2 linked regions of the Oryzias latipes genome follow. The main gene of each other region encodes a partner of the protein of the gene in region 2 in a complex. Links are inferred from orthologs where the notes say so. Each region holds a gene or a part of one and is shown on either strand. Other genes may lie near its edges. The genes, in order: farsa and farsb.

Evidence for each region.
Region 1: the proteins of farsb (region 2) and farsa are in contact, whole or in part, in a crystal structure (PDB 3L4G), measured with the Homo sapiens proteins. The link is inferred for Oryzias latipes from reciprocal best matches to the Homo sapiens genes FARSB and FARSA. Residues at the interface, in NP_005678.3 of Homo sapiens: Glu26, Phe29, Gly32, Leu33, Pro68, Ala69, Asn70, Ile150, Arg152, Asp259, Thr261, Lys262, Arg305, Lys316, Lys317, Val318, Gly319, Ile359, His360, Cys362, Asp363, Glu366, Ala369, Ile370, Tyr374, Asn375, Ile377, Gln378, Met379, Thr380; in NP_004452.1 of Homo sapiens: Ser221, Gly222, His223, Leu224, His225, Leu227, Leu228, Arg231, Ser232, Arg235, Leu239, Gly242, Phe243, Thr244, Glu245, Pro247, Asp249, Asn250, Phe251, Ile252, Glu253, Ser254, Phe263, Gln266, Gln267, Phe277, Phe278, Leu279, Arg280, Asp281.

Annotation. Positions count from the first base shown.
Region 1 is NC_019866.2:22,206,157-22,217,014, forward strand, and holds the end of farsa (phenylalanine--tRNA ligase alpha subunit), read left to right. Parts: coding exon 1-63; intron 64-1,604; coding exon 1,605-1,773; intron 1,774-1,855; coding exon 1,856-1,933; intron 1,934-3,327; coding exon 3,328-3,442; intron 3,443-4,950; coding exon 4,951-5,056; 3' UTR 5,057-5,415; downstream 5,416-10,858.
Region 2 is NC_019871.2:18,572,832-18,584,572, forward strand, and holds the start of farsb (phenylalanine--tRNA ligase beta subunit), read right to left. Parts: upstream 6,235-11,741; 5' UTR 6,143-6,234; intron 5,007-6,142; 5' UTR 4,933-5,006; coding exon 4,875-4,932; intron 4,480-4,874; coding exon 4,424-4,479; intron 3,443-4,423; coding exon 3,288-3,442; intron 3,166-3,287; coding exon 3,093-3,165; intron 3,024-3,092; coding exon 2,908-3,023; intron 2,840-2,907; coding exon 2,689-2,839; intron 2,600-2,688; coding exon 2,491-2,599; intron 2,279-2,490; coding exon 2,208-2,278; intron 2,141-2,207; coding exon 2,079-2,140; intron 1,780-2,078; coding exon 1,728-1,779; intron 1,648-1,727; coding exon 1,586-1,647; intron 1-1,585.

The sequences.
Region 1 (10,858 bases), on a different chromosome or scaffold from region 2:
AACATCCTCCGCACTCACACTACAGCGGTCAGCGCACGCATGCTCTATAAGCTGGCACAGCAGGTATGACCACGGAATCCCATCCGCACGCCGTTTCAGACCCACGAAAAACCTCGCTCCCTTTGAAAGCCATGACAGTTGAAAAGCATGAGTTTGATTTTAAAAAGAAAAGAAAAAAAATAATTCTTCAAATTAAAAGACTTAAATCACTGACTGTTTATAAGAACTGTAGTGACCACTCCCCCCTGGCGTTCCAATCAGGAAGTGGCTCCAAAAAGCCCAAACCCCACAGATGTCTATAGAGAAAAAAACAGCTGTTTTTCAGTCATTCTATAAAAAATCTTTTTTTTTTTCAAATTTGTTTTTGCTTTCAATTTTTCTTTTCATTGAAAATTTTTATTTTTGCTTTCCAAAAACTTTCTCAACTATTTTTATTTTTGCTTTCATCATTTTTTTTTTCTCAATCAACAGGCTGTTTGACGGCAGCTTTGTCACCCTAAACTGAAATGTATGTGAGCAAATTCAAAGATGCTCACATACAAAATCAAAGCGAGATGAGACGCATCGCATGTGAAAACATTTGTTTTGCAGAAGCAAAATTTGAAAAAAAAGTTTTTGAAACCAAAAACAAAAAAATTAAAGCAAAAAAACAGAATGGAAGGCAAAACAATTTTCAATGCAAAAAAGATTTTTGAAGCAGAATTAATAATTTTGAAAGTAAAAATATAAAATATGAAAGCAAATATATAATTTTTTTCATTTAAAGCTTAGAACGTTTTGTGGTGGCGTAAATGTCACTCTAACACTTTTCTTCATAGCATTTTGTTTACTGACTCACCAATGGGAAGGAGGACAAAAATCTGCCGTTGCAGCTCTTCAAATATCAAAAAATGTCCTTGATTTAGTTTCTGGAAATTAGAAACTATGAAAGAATTTCATATTCATGTAAGGAAATCTAAACCTCAAAAGAACAATCCTGTAAAAAAAAAAAAACACAAGCTTCAGAGCTGAAGCTCAGAGGTTCGAACGCGGTGGAAGTTCTAATTAGTTGTATTTGTGACCGCAGCTTTAGCGAGCGCCATGAGAATTATCCAATCACCTTTATTTACAGAGCACGTTTCCCAAACAGTTTCCAAAGTGCTGTACAGTGACTAAAATTAAATAAAAATTATTAAACAAAATAAAAGCAAGTAAAATGCAACAATAAAACGAATACAAATAAGATAAAAACAGAGAGCACCACACAACTAACGCGGCGTTCAAAGCCAGAGAGTAAAAATGTGTTTTAAAACACTCCACAGAGGACGCCGTTCTGACATGAGGAGGCGGAGCGTTCTACAGCTTAGGGTTGACAACACAGAACGCTCTGTCTCCTCTAGTTTCATCGTCGTCATGGGCTCCACAAGCTGGAGCTGACCTCTGACCTCATTAAAAACAAAATATAACAGGAAGCCAGGGCAAGGCCCCAAGAACGGGTCTGGTGTGCTCACAGGTTTTGGTTGCTTTTTAAAGTCGTGCAGCTGAGTTCTGGACTAACTGCAACCGGGGAAGTGGCTTGTGGGAAATCCCACTGTAAGGTGAATTGTAATCCCGCTCTTCCCCAGGAGAAGTTCACTCCCGTCAAGTATTTCTCCATCGATCGGGTCTTCAGGAACGAGACCTTGGACGCCACCCATCTGGCAGAGTTTCACCAGATCGAGGGGGTGGTGGCCGACTACGGCCTGACGCTGGGGGACCTCATGGGCGTCCTGCACCAGTTCTTCACCAAACTAGGTCTGATTCCAAGCATGGAATGGGGGGGGGGGATCACCGGATACGGGTCTGAGACTCGCCAAACTCCGCTTTCTCTTTTCAGGAATCACTAAACTGCGCTTCAAACCTGCATATAATCCGTACACGGAGCCCAGCATGGAGGTGTTCAGCTACCATGAAGGTGAGGGGGGAGGGAGGGTTCTGTCCATTATTGGATTTCAGAAACATTTATTCATCTAGAACTATGGGATCGATTGAATTGCTTTTTCCACACGATTTGTTTAAATTTGCAAACTTTTCTATCTGAAACTTGATTACAAAAAAATGACTTTTGCATAACTTCCTGTTTAAACTGACCCAAAGTAAAACATTCAGCAGTAAAACAGTGAATTCAGGAATTAAACTGCTTCCTTTTCCAAATCATTTAAAGAACCACTCCGATGAAAATAGTGTTTTTTAACATGTTTATTTAAATCATTGACGATCAAGAGCGAATGACAAACTCCGCGCCCCCCTCTGGAATCTGGATCAGAACTGTACAGCTGGATAGCTCTGATAAATCGATACAAATATCGCCAAATCAATTTTATTTATTTTTTCCAACACCTCTGTCTAATTAATTTTTGTTGGTTGGGGGTGTGAGGGGCTGGAAGTTAGTGGGACAGCCTGTACACAAATACTAATGGTCCCGCCCACAAATCAGAGGAAAATTTTAAAGAACTGCTGCTCTGCAGAAACTATGTCCTACAAAACAACTGCTTTTTGGGCTAAAAACAGCATTATCATAATTATAAGGCCACTATGAACGTTTTGAAAATAGATCAATAGAGGATCAACATGAAACTTTAAAAAAGTGTTGAAGAAAACAATTTAATGGATTAAAAAATGTGAAATTATTAAATGGATTTTTATTTAATGCTCACCTCGAAAAAAGAGTGAAACTTTTGTGATTAAAGCTGAATTAAGTTTTTCTTTTGATGCATCAAAAATGCTCCTTGTATTAAAAAAGTTTTCCTACAAAAGAATATTTACTTCGGCATGAAATTGTTCAAAAACGATCAATTTGATTAAATTACAGCTTTATTCTTTGAAAATCACTGAACGTTTTTAATTTTGTGGCATATTTTACCAGTTAAATAGTAAAAAAAAATAATATAATATGAGAGAAGAAATAACTTCCACAGGAAATCTCGCTGGAAAAACAATTAGAGATGAGTTTTCCTTTCGCTGTTCCTGCTTTTCATATTTTTTGTGTAGAAACGTGCTGCCTCTTGGAAAAGAGGGTTCTAATCTCGATGGGACTTTCCTGGTTAAATAAAATAATAAAAGCTTATTTACAGATCTGCATATGTGAAACCAAATGATCTTTTAGCTTAATGTGAACGGAATACCTTTTGTTTTCACTGTAAAGTATGAAAACTCATTGAGATGTGAGGATTCTGAGGAGCAGTTTTCGTTACCGTGGAGACGGCTCCGCTCGCCGTTTTGTGCCCGGAACGAGCTGGTTCTGGCTCCTCCTGCTGCCGTGTCCTGTCCTGCGGCTTTCATCCAAACGGCGCCTCTCTGCACACGCAGGACTGAAGAAGTGGGTGGAGGTGGGAAACTCTGGCGTCTTCAGACCGGAGATGCTGCTGCCCATGGGGCTGCCGGAGGACGTGTCGGTCATCGCTTGGGGCTTGTCTCTGGAGAGGTGAGCCCAGTTTCCCGCTTGGTGGGAACCTTCAGAGCCTGATCCAGAACCCAAGCTTTGTATCCTGAAGAGGATCACTGCAGTCTCTGAGGGTTTAAACTCTTTGTTTACGGCTGCAGGTGGAATAATCATTCAGACTTCATCCAGCCGACTGCAGTTATTATTTTGGACTGCAGGAATCCTCCAGTGAAGCACTCCGGGCCTGACCCGGCGCACAGATTAAAGCAGGAAAGCCTTAAACGGCATTAAACGCTGCAGGGTTACGTTTACTGTCATCCTTCTAGGGAACAGATGCAGCAGAAATGAATGAGTCACTGTCCTCACATCACGAGTGAGCATGAAAGTTAAAAAAATAACAATTTAACACAGAATTTTTTTAGTTTTTTAGTTCATTTCAAACATAAAAACAACAGATAAAGAACTTCAGACTGAGAACAATCGCATTTCTTTCAGACATTCAGTCTTTTTTAGTTTTGGAAGGAAAAAAAAACGACATTTGACAGAAATGAAGAAAAATATGTTTGAAAAGGAGATGAGCAGAAGCTGTGGCTTCTTTAAGCCTCATTCAGACCCATTTAACTGACCGTGTGTGTTTTATACATTAGAATCATCACGAGGCTCAGACTAGAGTAAATTCTCACATTTAACCCTTGTGCTATCTTCTGGGGTCCAGATGACCCCACCCTTACATTGATGTGGATAAAGGTGGAGAGGATTTCATGTAATCCATGGACACCATGGAAGATCATAAATCATTAAAGAACAAAGGTTCAGCGCACTGTCTAGTGGGGTCCAGATGACCCCACTCCCAACGTTAACATTGGGAGTGGGGTCATCTGGACCCCACTAGATAGTCAAGGACTAATCAGTTTTTGTATCACCAGTCCATATGAATTTAAGTCCTTCTGATGTTTTATATTTATCTTTTTTTTTTAATGATAAACAATTTGGGGCCCAGAACTGAACCTTGCGGTGTCCCGCATACATCCTGCATTCTGTCTGGTGCTCTCCAATTTGCACAAAGTGGTTTTGTTTTTCTGCATAGCTTTTTATCCACTGAAGCAGCAATCCTCTGGTTTAAGAGTTGAGCTTTTATGCGCCTTTTAATTGCACGATAAATCAAGTACAAATGTAATTATGCAGGAAGTAAAGGAAATTAGTGAAATTAAAAAAGGAAACCTCAAAAAAAACAAAAAAAAAGTAGCAGTTAAGCTTCTGGTTTTAGGATGTAGAGTAATTTGTATTCTAAATAAGGCAAATCAAAAGAAAGCATAAAAGATCCTTTTTACAAAATAGTGTCACAGGTAAAGAGAATAAAAGTATTTTTTTTGCTCCCACAGAATTGTAGGTTAGGTTTCATGAAAAATAAAGTTTGTGGTTCGTTTGACCTGCTCTGAGCACAGAGGAATGATGGGAAATGAGAGCCTTCCTCTGTTCCAGAACCTCAGCTGTTCTGTGATGCGGGTTTCCTGTGGTTTTTCATTTCGCCCTTCTCCTCTGACCCGCAGACCCACCATGATCAAATACGGCATCAACAACATCCGAGAGCTGGTGGGACACAAGGTCAACTTGCAGATGGTCTACGACAGCCCTATATGCCGGCTGGACTCTTAAGCCCCGCCCACCTGCTGCATCATTTCCACCCCCCCGGACCTGTTTTTCACCTGAGGTGCTCCGTCCTCCAGCTGATGGAGGGTTTGTCCGCAGAAACCCGAAGGCAGCATCTGCCTGAACTTTGTTACAGCCCTCGTCCTGCAGACGATCTCGGATGGAAGGAAATAAAGAAGCTTTTTTTGTAGCTTTAACCTCCGACTTTTCTTTTTTCACTGCAATTGTTTTACGAAAATACTGTTTTAGATTATTGAGGCTAATTCTGGCCTTTTTGGAGGAGTATCCATGACAACAGCAAAGGTCTATGCAAGCTTTTGAAAGCTTAAATCTTGTTCAGATTAAAACCTTCAATGGAAAAAAAACTGTGAAGCTGAGTCATAATTCTGGACTTTATGCTGCAAAAAGAATTTCACACAGAGGATTTTATTTTCCAGTTTACCTTCTGATGGTTCCCAGCTCATTTCTAACTTAAGTTATTTATTAACCGGATATTTGGGACATTTCCTACACCGTTTTCCAATTTTAAAATCTGCCGTTTTGGTGTCTTAAAAAAAGGATGAACTAATTTTTTACAGCAGTTCATGAAAAAAAACCTTCATTTTTTCCTTTTTTTCTGGCAGCTGCTCAGTAAGTCTGTTCAGTCTGCGACGGACAAAGAGGAGATTCCAGGAAGGCGGGATTAAAGCTGACCTTTCTGCTGCCTTTTTCCATTTAGATGTTTGTCTCCAACATCAAAACCGTGAATGAGCTTGTTTGAAAGATTAAATCAATTAATTTAAAGGAGCATTTTCCTCCTCTGCCTGAAGGCATCAAACTCCAGGCCTCATTTGGATCCATGTTTGACACTAAAAAGGGTCTCCTCATGAAGCTCAGATAAATAAAAAACACATGCATGAACTTCTTCACACCTTCTCTTCTGTCATTATTTGGAAATGAACTTGTATCGAGCTCCACACAAAAATAGAAAATAAAATTTTATTTAAAATCCAGGCTAACCCTTGTGCTATCCTAGGCACGTTAACGTTGGGAGTTGGGTCATCTAGACCCACAAGACAGTGCGCTGAACCTTTTTTCTTCAATGATTTGTGAACTTCACTGGTGTCCATGGATTACATGAAATCTTTCCACCTTTATCCACCTTTGTCATAGTAGGGAGAACACGTCAATGCAAGGGTGGGGTCATTTGGACCCCATAGGATAGCACAAGGGTTAAACTAGATTTAAAAGAGAACTTCATTTACAAAAAACAAAAGTTTTATTTTTAAAATCCATTTTTCATTGGTTCAAAAATTAGATTTTAACTTTTTTCTTTTCTTTTTATAATATAAATTATTAAAGCTTTAGTTTTGTGTGGAAAACATTTGTTTAAAAAAATATTGTGTTTAAAAATGTGACCATTTAAAGAACCCAATGGTTTTTAACCCTTTATCAACCCCAGTAAAAATATCAATGTTTACATGTGTGCAGAATATGGACTGTAAACCCCAAGATCAAAATGGGAAACACCTCCGAAGGTGGTAGAGAATGAGAGGGCAAAGATCCTGTGGGACTTCCACATCCAGACTGATAGGATGGTAATGGCGAACCAACCAGACATTGTAGTGCTGGATAAAGAACAGAGGAAAGCCGTTGTGGTGGATGTGGCAGTGCCAAGCGATGGGAACATCAGGAAGAAGGAACATGAGAAACTGGAGAAATACCAGGGACTCAGAGAAGAACTGGAGAAAGCATGGAAAGTGAAGGTGACAGTGGTGCCTGTGGTAATTGGAGCACTCGGGGCAGTAACCCCCAAGCTGGAGGAGTGGCTACAACAGATACCTGGAAAGACTTCAGACCTCTCAGTCCAGAAATGCGCAGTGCTAGGAACAGCTAAGATACTGCAGGACCCTCAAGCTCCCAGGCCTCTGGTAGAGGACCCGAGCTTGGAGGAGAAACCACCCGCAGAGGGTGAGAGGGGCGTTTTTATATATATATATATATATATATATATATATATATATATATATATATATATATATATATATATATATATATATATTGCTTATTGTTTTAGAGTAATAAACACAACAATTTTGGAAAAATATGTTTTAAAATTGTGCTCGACCGTTTTAATCAGGAAGTTGCAGAACTAGAATGACCTTTTAACATTTAATTTTTCTTTTTCAGCAACAGCATCTGTCAGGCGAAGCAGGAAAAGTCGATATAGTAATTTCACTCTTTTAAATGTAAACATAAAAAAACTGCATCTGTTGACGAATTCTACATGAACATTTTTAAGGTTAAAAATCAGCAAAAAAACATGAATTCAATTAGCCTCAAACAGAATGACAAAATACAGTACATATATGGCAACATTTAAATGGAAAAGCAACTTGATGCTTCTGTCATTTTAAACGTCCCCCTCCGATCATCTTAAGATCCATTTTCAAAGCACTCCCATTGTTTTTTAAAATGATAACTATGTTGGTTTTTAGCATCAATCTAAAAATGTCGTTTTCTAGGACATAGTTTCTACAGAGCGGCGGGAGTTCAGTTGAAATTTACCTCTGAGTTCTTCATGGGGAACAGCCCCCTTCCTGTCACCCGTAACTGAGAGCTCTCTGTTTATATGCTCTCCCTATACCGCACAGCCCCTCACACCCTCAAGCTAACATTAGCAGTGCAGCAAAAATGGCGAGCAACATTGGAGCGATCCAGCCGCACAGTTCTGATCCAGATTCTAGCTCGGACGAGGAAAACAAAGACGTTCACGGATCTATTTTTCTGCAGGTGGAGGCATCAGAATGGAGCAGAGAGTTTGTGTCCCGCCCAGCGTATTTTCTACGTCACAAATACGATGTTTTTCAATCCGCTTTTTTACCTTCTGCTCCTGATTCACAACAAATTGTATAAAAAAAATTCTCAGAAAAGCAATTTTTAAAATGAATTTTCTTAACATACATCAGAAAAATGCCCCAAGAATCTGTTAAAAACACCAAAAAACACAATTTTCAGCAGAGTGAGTGAGTAAAAAAAAGTCTAAAATGTATTTTTTGTTTCCAAAAGTGACTGAACTCTTCTTGTGACCTGATGACCCACAGATGAAGTGAAAATAATCTGCCGTCTCCCAGCATCTGAGGTGTTTTTGGAGCAATGACCTGAGCCGAGCGGTGATGAAGGCTGCAGGATTAAGGTGTCTTGTCTTGTGCGTGAGCATGTTGAATAGCAGGAACCACGTTAAGTCTTTCCCTAGATCTAATCCATCTGAAAATAACCTTGGAGAACCGTGTGAGGGGGACGCCTCTGTGGCAGGGCTGGAGCCGCAACGGAAACTCTTTTTTTTTTTTTTTCCCCACAGCTTGAGCTCCAAGTAATAAATTCCTAGAAGTGAAAACAACTTTTGCAGCTAAGTCGTTCCTAATGCAGAGTGACTCCTGACTTTACTACTAATCTCGTCACTTAAATGGATTAGAGTGGCACAACAGGTGGACAATCTCCTAATCGAACAGTGCCAGGGTAAACAAGAGTCATATTTTGTTGAATAAAAACTAGGAAAGAGACGTTTCCTTTTATTAAACCCACAGCAACATAATGTGAAGCAGTCTGGCTCAGCAGATCCGCTATTTCTTTAGTAGTTCTTCTCAGGTTTGACCTTTCTGTGAAACGGAGAGCCTCTTGGAATAATGCGGACAAATCCTGGCAGATGAGTCGCAGCAAAGAGGGAAATCCCAGCTGGGGGGGTCAGAGTCAGAACTCCCTGGGGATGCTGACCTCCTTGCTTATGCCTGGGCTCCCCGACAGCATCTGGGGGTTGTGGTTCCCTTGAGAGTGTGGGAAGAAGGTGGGGATGTAGGGGATGGCGGCCAGCAGCAGCGGGCTGGTCTGAGGGCTCTCGTCTGGAGACAGAGGGATGACCACGTCGTCCTGGTCCCACACGTGGAAGGCGTTGTGGGCGAAGGGGTGCACAGAGGGGGGGTGGCCGAAGCGCATCAGCTGAGGGTTGTCGTCCACGTTCTTCTCCTCGTCGCCTGTCGGACCCAGCAAGCACTCTGAAGAAAGCAGACGGTTGAACAGGATAAAGCAGACTTTTCCTGCTGCGCTGGTGGCAGAAACCCGGGACTCAACAAACCTGCAATGTCAATGGCCAGATCTTTGATCAGGTGTCCGACGATGGCGTAGGCAACTCCAACGACCACCAGTGCGGCCATGATCAGGTAGAGCACTCCTTTGGGTAAGGGGATGAGCTCCTTCACCTGGGGCTTGTACTGCTTGTACAGGGGGTCCTCCGTGGATGCCGGGTACCCATGAGTGGAGTTCACGCCAGTGAAGTTAAAAGCATTCATGGCTTCTTCCTCCTAACTTATGACTGCAGCATGCTTCCAGTGTGAGTGTGAAGGTCTTTACGGAGATCCAATACACAAAAACAGGAGAGAAATGAATCATTTTCTTACAACATCATATTTTAAAATACACTATATTTTCTGTTTTTAGCATTTATACGTATACTAGTGGATGGATGTATCTTTAATACAATAGGCAAGTATTTTCTCCCAATTTTTTCACCATGTATTAATTACTTGTCACTACTAACATAAAATCAGAGGAACATGAACCATAGTCCTTTCATTTTGCAAAACTGTGGCTTTAAAAGAGCTTCTAAACTTTGTGTATTAGTCTGTAATCACATAAACAATAACATTAGTTTACATAATGCCACATGTGAGACCATTTATTTATAAAATATTCAAATGACATATGAAGATATATTATTCAATAGTCTGTCTTACCTATAAAAATAAAATTGTAATCTATATATATTTTATGAAAAAAATAATGTTGTTGTTCTTGTTTACCTTTTTCTTTTAAATTCCAAATATGTGGATCTATTTTCTCCGGCGGACGCTCACACTAGCTCCCACAGGTTCAGGTCACAGGTTCCGCTGCTCCGTCCTCCAGCGCCAGCGACGGAATGAGGTGCGCGCGCTCGCTCTGCACTTGTGAGCTCGCGGCTCCTCCCGCGTGGCCAAGCCGCTCGTCGTGTGGTGACGCAGCTGCCTCGCGCGCCAGATCTCCTAATGCTCGGAAAGTACTGTAATTCGTCAAAATTCTGAGTAGAAGTCGCCTCGTGCCCGACAGCTATTCTGGGTTTAAAGCTGCAGAAGTCCACAGGACTTTTACTCTGAAATAGAGCCAAGGAAAATATATTACTGTCTGACGCCATGCTGCTTCTAAAAAGTTATTTCACTTTACACTAATAAAAAAAATAGACTAGAATAAACCCCTTTTTAGTAGCTACATATATCATTAAAGAATGTAAAAACATGTATCTGTCGGTTTGAAAAACAAGCTTTTTACCAGGATTAGATAAAACAAACAATAGCTTTATCATGTGGATGTAGATGAAAGAAATGTAGAGTTGGGAACAACATGGCGATTTCTTGTGGTAAAACCTTACGACCCACTCCAATCAAAATGATGTTTTTAACATGTGCTTGTGGCATTTTCTCATGATTGAGAACAAATATGAAGAAAATCGAACTCAAAATTGCTTTCCAAAGTATTTTTTATTCAAATCACTGTAAATTATTTCGTCTTTGTTTTTCTTCGTCTGAGCTGGAATCGGGCTCAGAACGTTACATCTGGATAGCTCAAGTGGCGGTTTTTCCTATGGACGATGTGGGCAGTCGCCCAGGGCGCCATCTTATAGGGGACGCCCCAAAAAAGAACAAACATTGTCAGTTTTTTATCTTCAGCAGTTTTCCTAGACTAGAGCCGCCCCATTCTCCATAAAGTTAATCAAATTTGCGCTAGGGCGCCCCACTTTCG
Region 2 (11,741 bases):
AATTGCAGTTAAAAATGTTTTTAACCGTTAAAAGATCGGATTAGAACTGAACTGTGTACATGCTCCCAGAAAAACGTTTCTGATTAAAACAAATATTTACGTACGCCACACTTCCGGTCGGAATAAATCATTTGAACATGCCAGAACTCTCTCAAATACTGGAAACGGGCGTAGAAGAAGAAACATTGTCTCTGTCTGAATTACCACCCTAACTACTAAAAACTATATTGCGCGGCGCAATGTAGTATGGAAGCGATTGTGTAGCATAAATAAAAAGAAAAGTCAAAACCAGAAATGCTTTTCATTTTCAAAATGAAGCTGCATTTTTTGACCCAGAATAAAAATGAAAAAGCAATCCGCCAAAATGCTTTTTCATTTCCTTCCTTAATACAGCTTATTCTGTCACTTAATTAAAATGATAAAGAAAATGGTATTTGACATTTCATTTTAAAAATTTTCTCTGGTAAATGTGTAGCATAGTTCATTTAGAAAGGTCTAATTTGACAATTAAAATGGATTAATAGAAATGCTTTTTACTTTTCAAAATGAAGCTGCATGAAATGACTCAAAATTAAAAAGAAAAAGCAATACTTAAAAATGCTTTTTCATTTTATACTGAAATCCGCTTATTCTGTGTCATAATTAAAACAAAAATGCAAAGAGGGGATTGCATTTGCATTTTCACACCCACCCTGCAAAATTTGTAGCAAAATTCATTAACATTGAGCATTGGCAGAGGAGAGGCGGGGCGATTTGGTGCATTTGGTGGTCAAGACGACCACCAAATGGTTCCTGAGCACAGATGTGTTTGCAGCTCACTGCTTCCCCAGAGGAGGGGCCAGATGTGGAGAACAACTTTCTCGCACCCAAATGTGATACAATTACCGTAATAAGACTTTAACTACATATTAGGGCACTGCTTCGGTTTGTGCGATGAAAGACTGGACAAAAAAAAATGCAGACAACAACAGTTTGTGACTGATTGCGCAGAGAAACGGCCAAGAAAAGACCAACAACAGCCAGTTTCAGACTATTTTCATTTCTTAAATGTTCTTTTTCATTTCTCTGGTCTGGATCACCATCATCTGATCTGTCTAGTTTTACTGCAGAAAATCATTCACTTTTAAAGTCCACAGTTAAAGACACACACCAATTATCCTTTGATATAGTTTCAAAGCATTCCCAGTGGTCTTTATATTATGATTATGATGTTTTTTAGGCAAAAAAAAAACAAAAACAAAACAATCTGTGTCGTTTTATAAGGCAGTTTATACAGAGCAACAATTTTAATAAATAAATACACGGAAATTAATTTTTATCTTGATTTACTTTATATATGTTCTACGTCGTGTGAAAAATGCTACAAGAATACGTTAAAAACACCAAAACACCGTTTTCATTTGAGTATTAAAAGAACATATTTAGACTTTTGAATTTCTTGCCCACTCCATCAATATCCTGGAGATTAATAGATATAATGAAAGGTTCACTTTAGTGCATTTCTTTTCCAGATAAATCTTATTTAAGAGGAATAAGAACGAGCAAACAGAAAAGAAAAAGAAACAAAAAAAAACAAAAAACTTACGAAATTCCAACTTTTCGGTTGATGAACTCGCTTGTCAACTTCTCCTTTCTGTAAGCCAACTCCTGGGAAACAAGCCCGAAAGGAAGGATCAGAAACGACAGCAGGAATAAATATAAACAATAGAAGATGATGCAATACTTACAGGGTATATGCAGGTCTTCCCATCAGGATACACCACCTCAGCCTCCTCCACCCTGATGGAGAGAAGACAGAACAGAGTCGCCATCAAAGACCTCATCCTGCAGATCTTTAACATGTCGAATTAAAGGAAATACTTATTTCAAAAAGAGTCAAATTTAACCTCATTGTAGAAACTATTTAAAACAAAAAGCATTAAGCTCCTTCATAATCATCTGTTTCGCTAGTCTGCATGATTTCATTTGGCACTAAACTTGAAACCCAAACTCCTGTATGAGGTGAAGATCCTTTATGGAGGCTGGAAACCTCTGAGCTGCATGCAGAGTTTCTGTCACACGATGGAGCCGAAGCTTACGTGAAAGGCCGTGAACAGTACTGGCTGAACATGGTCACCATGACGTCCAACACAATCTTGGCCTGCAGAAAACACAGCAGGTCACTCTCTGGTGTCAGAGGACATCTCATTGTCCTCCTCAGTCCGTACCTTCGTCAGGTCTGTGGCAGTACACTCTATGAAGACGTTTTTTGTTGTTAAGCTGATTTTTGAGTGGTCTCCTGGGACAGAAAGGAACATTTTCTTTCAGGAAGTTATCTTAAAGGTTGATGTTCTAAATTATAAGATAGATTGAGCATTTATTCGTGTTTTAGAGGAGCCAGTAAAGGTTCTCATTCATTCAGGTGACGTCTTCGAGTTGAGTCTGAAAGACCATCTTGTTCAATTTTCTTGAAGATTGTAAGAAGAAAACAAAACCAGAATCTAGGCTCACCGTTAATAATAGGAGGCATTGACAAGACCACGCCGTTGCTGTCATAGATGACTGGATACACCGGCTTGTCTTCAATGATGTGAAGATAATGCCTCAGGTGGCTGTCTGTCTACAAAAACCAAACAGTGTTGCTGATTCAGTGAAGGAGAAGAAAGTGGAGGTGCTTGGAGGACCTCCTCCATCTGCTCAGCAGCTTACCTTGTAGAGGCTCATGAGCTGACTTGCGGTGTACTCTTTGTTCTGGTTGAGGGGCTTGAAGCTGATGTCTCCTGGGGGTTTGGCCGTATAGGTGAAGGGGCCAGAGATGGTGTCCAGGTCGTGTGTGCCAATGGCCACCAGGCTCCTTTTCCTGCACAGACAAACAATGTTTCAATGGTTCTTCCAATGGGATCATGTTTGTATCGATCTTCTATCGACCTGCAAACATTCTGATGCAGCTTCTCCTGGAGCTCTATGAAGCTGTCATAGCGCTCCTTGGTGAAGGTGATGTTCCTCAGCACAGCCGCCACAGCGTGGGGCCTCACTGCTGCAGTCTGCAACAAACAGGACCAATCAGCATCTAAAACGCTTGAACATTTGAAAAGAGGAAAATACAGGCCCACCTCCTTGGTGATGATTAGTCTCTGAACTTCTCCGGTGGTGGGGCTCACGCGGCTGTAGCGGGGCGCCTCCAGCCTAAAACATAAACATGTAGGTGTGTCCTTACAGCTCTACGGAGGACAAACCGCTTACATTTCAGGCCATCTGGACTTCTCTTTAAAAGAAGCACAATGGATTCTTGTTAAAACATGACTTACTTGTTCTTGAAGACCTGCAGTCCACGGACAAGCCCCTCCAGACATAGCAGGTCATAGCGGTTTGCAGGCACATCGATCTTGTATAAAATGACATCTGATGCTCCCGAGGCCTTGGAGTCACCTTGCTCCCTGCTGATTATCTCCTTCTCAGAGGTCTGTCCAGGAGAAGTTTTCATGAAATTCAGCTTTGTCCACACAGAACTTTGTCAGAGGTTTGGTCACATGACACAGAGCAGTGAAATCTGAGCTCTCTCATGTAGCATTGGTTTCCTGTGCTTTCAGAAAACCTTACCAAAGTTTGAATTTGCCTTTTTCAAAAGAATAAATAAATAATAAGACTGGTTTTTAAACTTGACGGATTTCACAACAGTCTTTTTGTGAAAAGACCTTGAATGAAACTCCTTAAAGCACAAAGGCAAGACGTCATGTTTACATGTTTGAAAAGATGCCTTTGACTGGATTTGTTCATGTAAAGCAAAATAAGTTTCAGTTAAGAGCCCAGAATCCTATTTCATCTGTTTCTGTAGGTGCAGCTGCAAAAAATAACAAATTCTGAATTTGAAAGACAAACATTTATTTTAATTATTGACATGATCAGGAAAAATGAATCTATGAAAAAACTCAAATATGTAGAACAAACTTAGTTTGTTTTTTACTGATTGTGTCCCAAAAAGACATGTAAAGGCTAATGCACTATAAAGATAAAGTCCCACTATCTGTCACACACCTAGGTGTGCGAAATTTGTTCTCCGCATTTGACCTTCCCCTGGGGGAGCAGTGAGCTGAAGACGAGCCACGCTCGGTAACCATTGGTGGTTCAACCCCCCAAGCCAACCCCTTAATGCTGAGTGTCAAGCAGGGAGGCATGACATAACATTTTTAATTGCACACATATTTTAATTATATTAACACAATTTTCAACTGTTTTTGGAAATCTGACAAAGAAAAGCTAATAATATATATCGATTGTTATGTGAACTAATTTATAAGCAGTATATTAGAAATCTAAAGTATTTGCTGCTCTTGTGTCACAAAAACACGTTTGCAGAAAAGTCAAAGCTAAATTAAACACACCGTTCACGGTGACGCAGGTTTACATCTGTGGAACCTGAGCCATGTTTCTCGAGTTTACTCACAATTTCGTCCAGTTCCAGTCCAAATTCAAAGCAGAGCTCATCGAACTCCTCGTCGGCTGAAACACATGAAGTCACAGGGTTATCAATAAGCTTAACGCGAACCCTCCGGCTTCCGTAGGTCCGCTCTTCCAGCAGAAAAACGAGAGAAGCCGGAGAATCTGATGCAACTTCTGACAGGACAACAGAGATGGCTCCCCGTTGCTTCCATGACACACATTAGTAGGTCTGGTGTACTATGATGAATGTCAGGCAAGAGCGATGTCGAATTAGCCTGTCACTTAGACTAGTGAGAAAGAAAAAGTTAAAAGTAAAAACTGACGCTACGGACTAACTAAGGAGTGGACTCTCTCTGCACGAAGCAGCTAGATCTCCAAGTTTTTGGACCTTTCACTTCAAAACCCAAATAACACATTGAGACATTATCTCGTCTTTTTCATTAGCCATCACTTACTGTAAGATCTGCCCAGCGCGCTGAACAGAATATCTCTTTTAACCCCGACGGTCGGCATGCTGGCTATAGCTAATCTTTCACGGCTCGACCAAAAGGACCCCAGCAGCCGGCCGTAGCTGTCTACAGCAGTGCCTGAAAAAAAACAACAACAAGGGAGCCCTATTAAACGCCTGCAGACTGCACAATTTAAAAAAAAAAGGTACAAACAAATAAGTATTTGATATAGAGTAATTAAAAATACTTAAAAATCCAAAAATGTATTTTGAAAAAATACATCTGCCAATTACTAAATACTTATATTTGTTGATCTTCAGATTTCGAGCAGGTCAACCTCATTCTTTCAACTAAATAATTATTTTTTTAGATGGTTCAAGGAGGAGAGGTCAGCATTTTATTTTATTTTTTCTTTCAGATCTTTCTTTCAATGGATTTTTCACACAAAAAGCTTAACACATTCTATACTGAACTGAGTTTATATATATATATATATATATATATATATATATATATATATATATATATATATATATATATATATATATATATATATATATATATATATATATATATATATATATATATATATATATATATATATATATATATATGACAAAAGAACAGATTAACTCTTGAAGCACAGGATCAGTCAAAACGGGGCCATAGTGGAATAAGTCACAGCAGCCAGCTGATATTCATCGTCTATCCCGTTTGGGGGTAAAACAAATGCACTACTTTCTTTAGAAATGCATTTGTAGTTCACTCTCTGTGTTAATACAAAAGGATTGAGATACTTGCTGTCACGTTTGAAAATTTATCAATAGCGCTATTGAAGCAGGAAGTCCGAACTTGTGAAGATCTTTCTAACTTTACCAAGTTCTCTGAGTCCAGCATTCTGATTGGTTGACTCCCCCCTCCTCCAACCCTCCCTCACCCCCTTGGTCCACTTATGGACACAGATCGGTTTTGACACAAGTTTCTCGCACTTCTGTGTCAGAAGTCCGAGCGCAGTTGTACCGCACCTGTGATTTGGGCCAGCAGATTCGAGCACACGCAGAAGCAAGTTTGAGCAGTTAATCACAGATTTGAGGTTTTAACTCTAAATGAACACATGCAAATGGGAATTTGTCAGCTGTCATTTTGTTTGTCAAACTTTACAGCAGGAGATTTTTTACACACAGATGCAGATTTTTGGTGCACAAGTTTTTAAATTCTATTTTAAAAGTTCTCACATCAAATCTACAAGCTTGTCCATTTTGGAACATTATTACCTTCATAGTCATATGTCCTAAACTTGTCACCTGAGGTCCTCCGTACTTTCTTGGTCCACCAGATGGCGTCATCTTCAACCAATAAAAATACTTTCAGGAAACTGGATGTTTCTTATACAGTCAATGATGTTGTCCTGAGACTGTTTCTAACTTTTACACTTTGAGAATACACCAACAGTCTTGCTCCAAAAACCTGCTACTAACTTGCTTCTTTTTCTCGTTTATTGATCTGAAACATAAACAACTTCTCTATAACTTCAGTTCTTTTTGTTAAATTGTTCAAAAATGAAAGCTGCAGAACTTTTCCTATAAAAACGGCCATTAAAAAAGAAAAACAGCAGCATTTCCACATAGACCTCAGCCTTACCTCACTATCAATGGACCGTCACTTTGTCTGACGTCATGAAACATGCCCTCACCTGTTGGAGCTCAGGTAACACTGTGGCATTTCTTCTCAGTCTTGTTCATGTTTTCTTGTTGCAGTAAACATTTTGGACTTGGATACATTTCCTGAATTTAGGGATCTAGTTTTCCAGCAGAACTAGTAGAACTCAGCCCAGTTAATTAGAGAACACCACACCCAAACTGTCAAAGGGAATCTCACCTGTGAAAAGTTTATGATGGAAATCTGCTTTAATATAGATTGTTCAAGATCTGATCAATATTATTTAATGCAGACAAAATAATCCCAAAACAAAAGGAAAAATATAGTCCTGGATTTACTGTCAGGCCATCATGACTGTAATGATCTCAGGAGAAGATCTGCAATCATCTGTTTCAGAAGAACAGGAGCCCCGCTGACCGTAGTCACTACATCCACCTCTGAGCAAAGCTTCTTCCTCGTTTGTGACAGCACCAACTGGAAGATGAGACATCAAGGTCGTTCTCCAGCATCATTCACAGATTCCTCATTTGCTTTAGAGCTTCATAGTTTTTTTTAGGTAAATAACAACATTCAATCATATTTATATTGACTTTACTTGACCCACTAAACTCAGGAGGTTGGAGTCCATGCACTCTTTACAGATCATCTACTGGAAACAGCCATGAGACTGGTCTTCACAAGTCTTCACATAACAGCTCTTTGATCAATCTGGACTTGATGAGATAAACATCATGTAAAGATGTTTGCCAGGGAGAGCAGGTTCACCAGATGTCAAAAGCACAGGATGAGCATCAAACCTTCCCTCAGAATCACAGCCTTCATTTCTCTCTTTGTCAAATTGCAGAACAATTTATCAATCATGTCATTTCTCCTCTGGCTTTACTGCTTCCGTTTTTTGTGGAAACCACTGTCACCTTTCACAGCTGCTCTGCATGTTAGTCTAATTCTAAACTTTGAATTCAAGATAATTTCATCTACAGCTCCTCCACAGTTTTTTTAATCATCGTGTTCTCTCTGTGATGAAGCACTGATGTTCCTAACATCACTCCCTGCATAAACTTTTAGTATTTCTCTTTTCAAAGTGATCACTTTGGATTTCAGACGATTTTAACAAGAATGCTTCACGCAAAAGCAGTCTCTTTTTTTAATCTGAAAAGTTATGCAAGTTGTTTTTAACACAACGGCCAACAGAAAGCTTAGAAGTGAGGAAAAACTTGATTAGCCAGAGTTTCCTGTTCACAACAGTTCCATTATATTTGGCGTCAGAAACACGTTTCACATGACAGATGCAAATAAATGCATTCTGTATATTTTCAAATGTAATATTTTTCTCCTAAATCTTAAAGGTGAAGAGCTTATTACCTCAACATAGCTCCTTTGCAGTTTTCTTTGATCCAGATGCAAAAATGCAATGAAGACGCCTTAAACTTCAGGGTAAACATGCAAGCACACAGTGCATTCCCCTTTTTTCTACTCTTCCTTTTTCAGGCCAAGAGATTTTCTGCAAGAGGCAAATCATGCCAAGTGAACATATTGGGTTTGCTCCCAGAAACTCTGAAACTTTCTCATAGTGAGAGTCAGTTCAGGCCCTCTGTTACCTGCCGGACTGGAAAAGTGAGACCGTTAAACAAATCCCACACTTGACAGGAATGACAATAATTTTAACTGCTAACTGAAAAAATGACAGTTGTACTTTCTCTTTCTAAATTTAATACCAATAAAATATGACCTACATTGGGGGAAAAAAGTATTTAGTCAGCCATCAATTGTGCAAGTTTTCCCCCTCAAAAAGATGAGAGAGGCCTGTAATTTTTAATCATAGGGTGCTCCTCAACTATGAAATCCAGAAAATCACTTAGTATTATTTTTAATGAACTTATTTGCAAATTATGGTGGAAATTAAGCATTTGGTCACCTATAAACAAGCAATATTTCTAGCTGTCACAGACCTGTAACTTCTTCTGAAAGAGGATCCTCTGTCCTCCACTCGTTACCTGTATTAATGCCACCTGTTTGAACTTGTTATGAATTTATAAGACACCTGTCCACAACCTCAGACACACTCAAACTCCACTATGGCCAAGACCAAAGAGCTGTCTAAGGACACCAGAAACCAAATTATTGACCTGCACCAGGCTGGGAAGACTGAATCTGCAATAGGTAAACAGCTTGGTGTGAAGAAATCTACTGTGGGAGCAATTATTAGGAAATGGAAGACATACAAGACCACTGATAATCTCTCTCCATCTGGGGCTCCCTGCAAGATCTCACCCCATGGGTTCAGGATGATCACAAGAACGGTGAGCAAATATCCCAGAACCATATGGGGGGATCTAGTGAATGACTTGCAGAGAGCTGGGACCAACGTAACACACCACGCCAGACGTGTCCCCCTGCTAAATCCAGTATATGTGCAGGCCCGTCTAAAGTTTGCTAAAGAGCAGTTGGATGATCCAGAAGAGGTTTGGGAGAAAGTCCTATGATCAGATAAAACCAAAATAGAACTTTTTGGTAAGAACTCAACTTGTTGTGTTTGGAGGAGAAAGAATGCTGAGTTGCATCCAAAGAAAACCATACCTACTGTAAAGCATGGGGGTGAAAACATCATGCTGTATAGGAGACCAAATAATTAATTTCCACCATAATTTACAAATAAAGTTTTTAAAAATCAGACAATGTGATTTTCTGGACCCCCCCATTTTGTTTTTCATAGTTGAGGATTACCTATGATGAAAATTACAGGCCTCTCTCCTATTTTTAAATGGGAGAACTTGCTCAATTGGTGGCTGACTGCACCACTGTTTTTCCTCAACTTTTGGATGTTCTTGATCCTATAGTGTTATAATTATTAGAAATTAAAACAAAACAACTAAATTTTCCTTTTTTCATTTATGTCTAATATACATTCCACCCAAATACTGGAGATGTTATTCGAAAAGCTAGAAAACTTTTATTATTATTTATATTTACATTAAATCAGATAAAGCAAAATGGTCCATTGCTTTCTGTCAGTCTTCTGTTTCTTCCTGTTTTTTTAATTTTTATTTTATTTCTAAGTAAGATAAAGAAAGACAACAAAAAGATAAAATGTTAAAATCCATAACACGCCTTTCAAATTAAATGCCTGAAATATAATAAAGGCAAAGCCCTCAACATTACGCAAAAGGCGAAAAGAAGAATTCATCAAAAAACAGAGGAAGTATATGAATCATCCTTTTTCCTCATGGAAGAACTGAAGGCAGATCCCCTCCAGTGCTGAAATGCAAAACTAAAAATATTCTCCTCTTTATCATTTGAGAATAGAGATGTATGACTAAGTAATGAATTAAACACACTCCGTCTACTTTATATAAGAAGATGAAGTGGAGGGAATAAAATAATGCACAGCAGACAGAGAGGGAAGGGTGACACAGCTCTAGTTTGAACTAAAACAAATCTGTCAGTTTTTCTGGCACATGACTCTCTTTGGAACATCATGGTGCAGTTCTGTTCTGTTCTTCTATAGCCTCAATAAAACCCCATGAGATCCTGACAAATGTGTGAGGTTTCTGCTTTATTTGGGATGATGATCGATTCTTGTTTTCTCTGCGGTGAGACATAAAACATGTCGTTCCTGTTGTAATCTGAGGTCAGATATGGCAACTGATTTGGAGCTCAAAGGGTTCATAATTACATAACCATTACAGAAAATGTGACCAAAAGCACTTTCACACAGAAAAGGTAAAAGTATTGTCATCCCTCTGTTTTAGACTTTCCAGGAGCCAGATACTCTAATCCACCATGATTCCAAACATTTTTCAAGCTTTTTATTAGTCATTTTGAAATTTTCTTTTCATATTTTTTTTATTTGACATTTTGTTAGGTGAAATCTTTGTGACATGGAGATATAGTGGTTTTAAAAAAAATATTTTTTCATAATGCAGACTTCTAGATATACCACTGCTTATCTTTCTTTATTTTATTTTCAGGACAAATAAGAAGCTGGTGACAACAATGTTGCGTTTCCATTTGCTGTCAAGGTAAATGTGAGAAAAGAACACTTTTGGTATTATTAAAGGAGCTCTTAAGATAAATACTTATCTTAATATATAATATAATATAATACAATATTTTCAAATGCATACAATTCTTAGATGTGTTCATAAACAGCTGTGGCAGCAGAATAAGGAAGAAATGAAAGTTTACCACAACACTGATCTTTCTGCTCTGACGTCTGTTTCGACAATCCTCTTACGTTCTTACTGAATAATGCTTAGCAAACATGTAATCAGACTGGTACGTACATTTTTCTTTAATGTGTTTAAAACTCAGAATGTTCAGAAGATCAAGGTCTATGAAAAACATCAAGTTATCTTGAAGCAGCAGCTCTTGCATCTTTAGCAGGAAACTGCTTCCAAACCAGTCCTGGATCTCCAATTATTAGCTCTAAATTTATGCTTAAATATACAATATTGTTCAATAAATGATGCACGCATGACCCACTCCAATAAAAGTCTTAATTTTGGTGTTTTAACGTGTTCTTGTAGCATTTTTCTCATGATGGAGGACAAGGACATAGATAAAAGAATTCAAGATTAAAATTGCGTTTCTGAGTATTTCTTTATTCAAATCTTGGTGGGTCAGGAGCAGATAATGTCTATGCTCACAACTCAGAGGAGAGTTTGTGATGAGCTCCTGCCAAGCTGCACAAACGTTCAAGAAAACGACACAGTTGTTTTTAGTTTTTTTTTATTTAGGCTAAAATTGGCATAATCTTAATTCAAAGGCCACTGGAAACACTTTTACAATAGATCAAAATATGATTGGAGTGGGACTCTAAGGCAATTTTTATTACAATTCTTAAAATTCAAATCACTACATCAGTGCAGGACTTGGCAAGATTCCACAAAAATATGAACAGTTTATGCTTAATAGAATATTTGTAAATGGTTTATTATATTTCTTATATTTTGTGATGCATAAAGTCATGGAATAAATGAAGCTTTTACCAAAAAAAATGTGTTAAAAGGACTCCATTCAATATCCTACCATGCATTTATATTAATTCTATGTTTCTAAACGTTCATTAAGACACTTTTGCACGTGACTGTGTCAGACAGGCACGCGCCACCTTCAGGGGTCCAATCAGGGCGCGGGGCCACTCCCTCCTCCCGGCGCATGTGGTGCTTCCGGCCTCCCGTCTGGAAAGAGATCCAGAGCCGGTGTGTGGAGGAG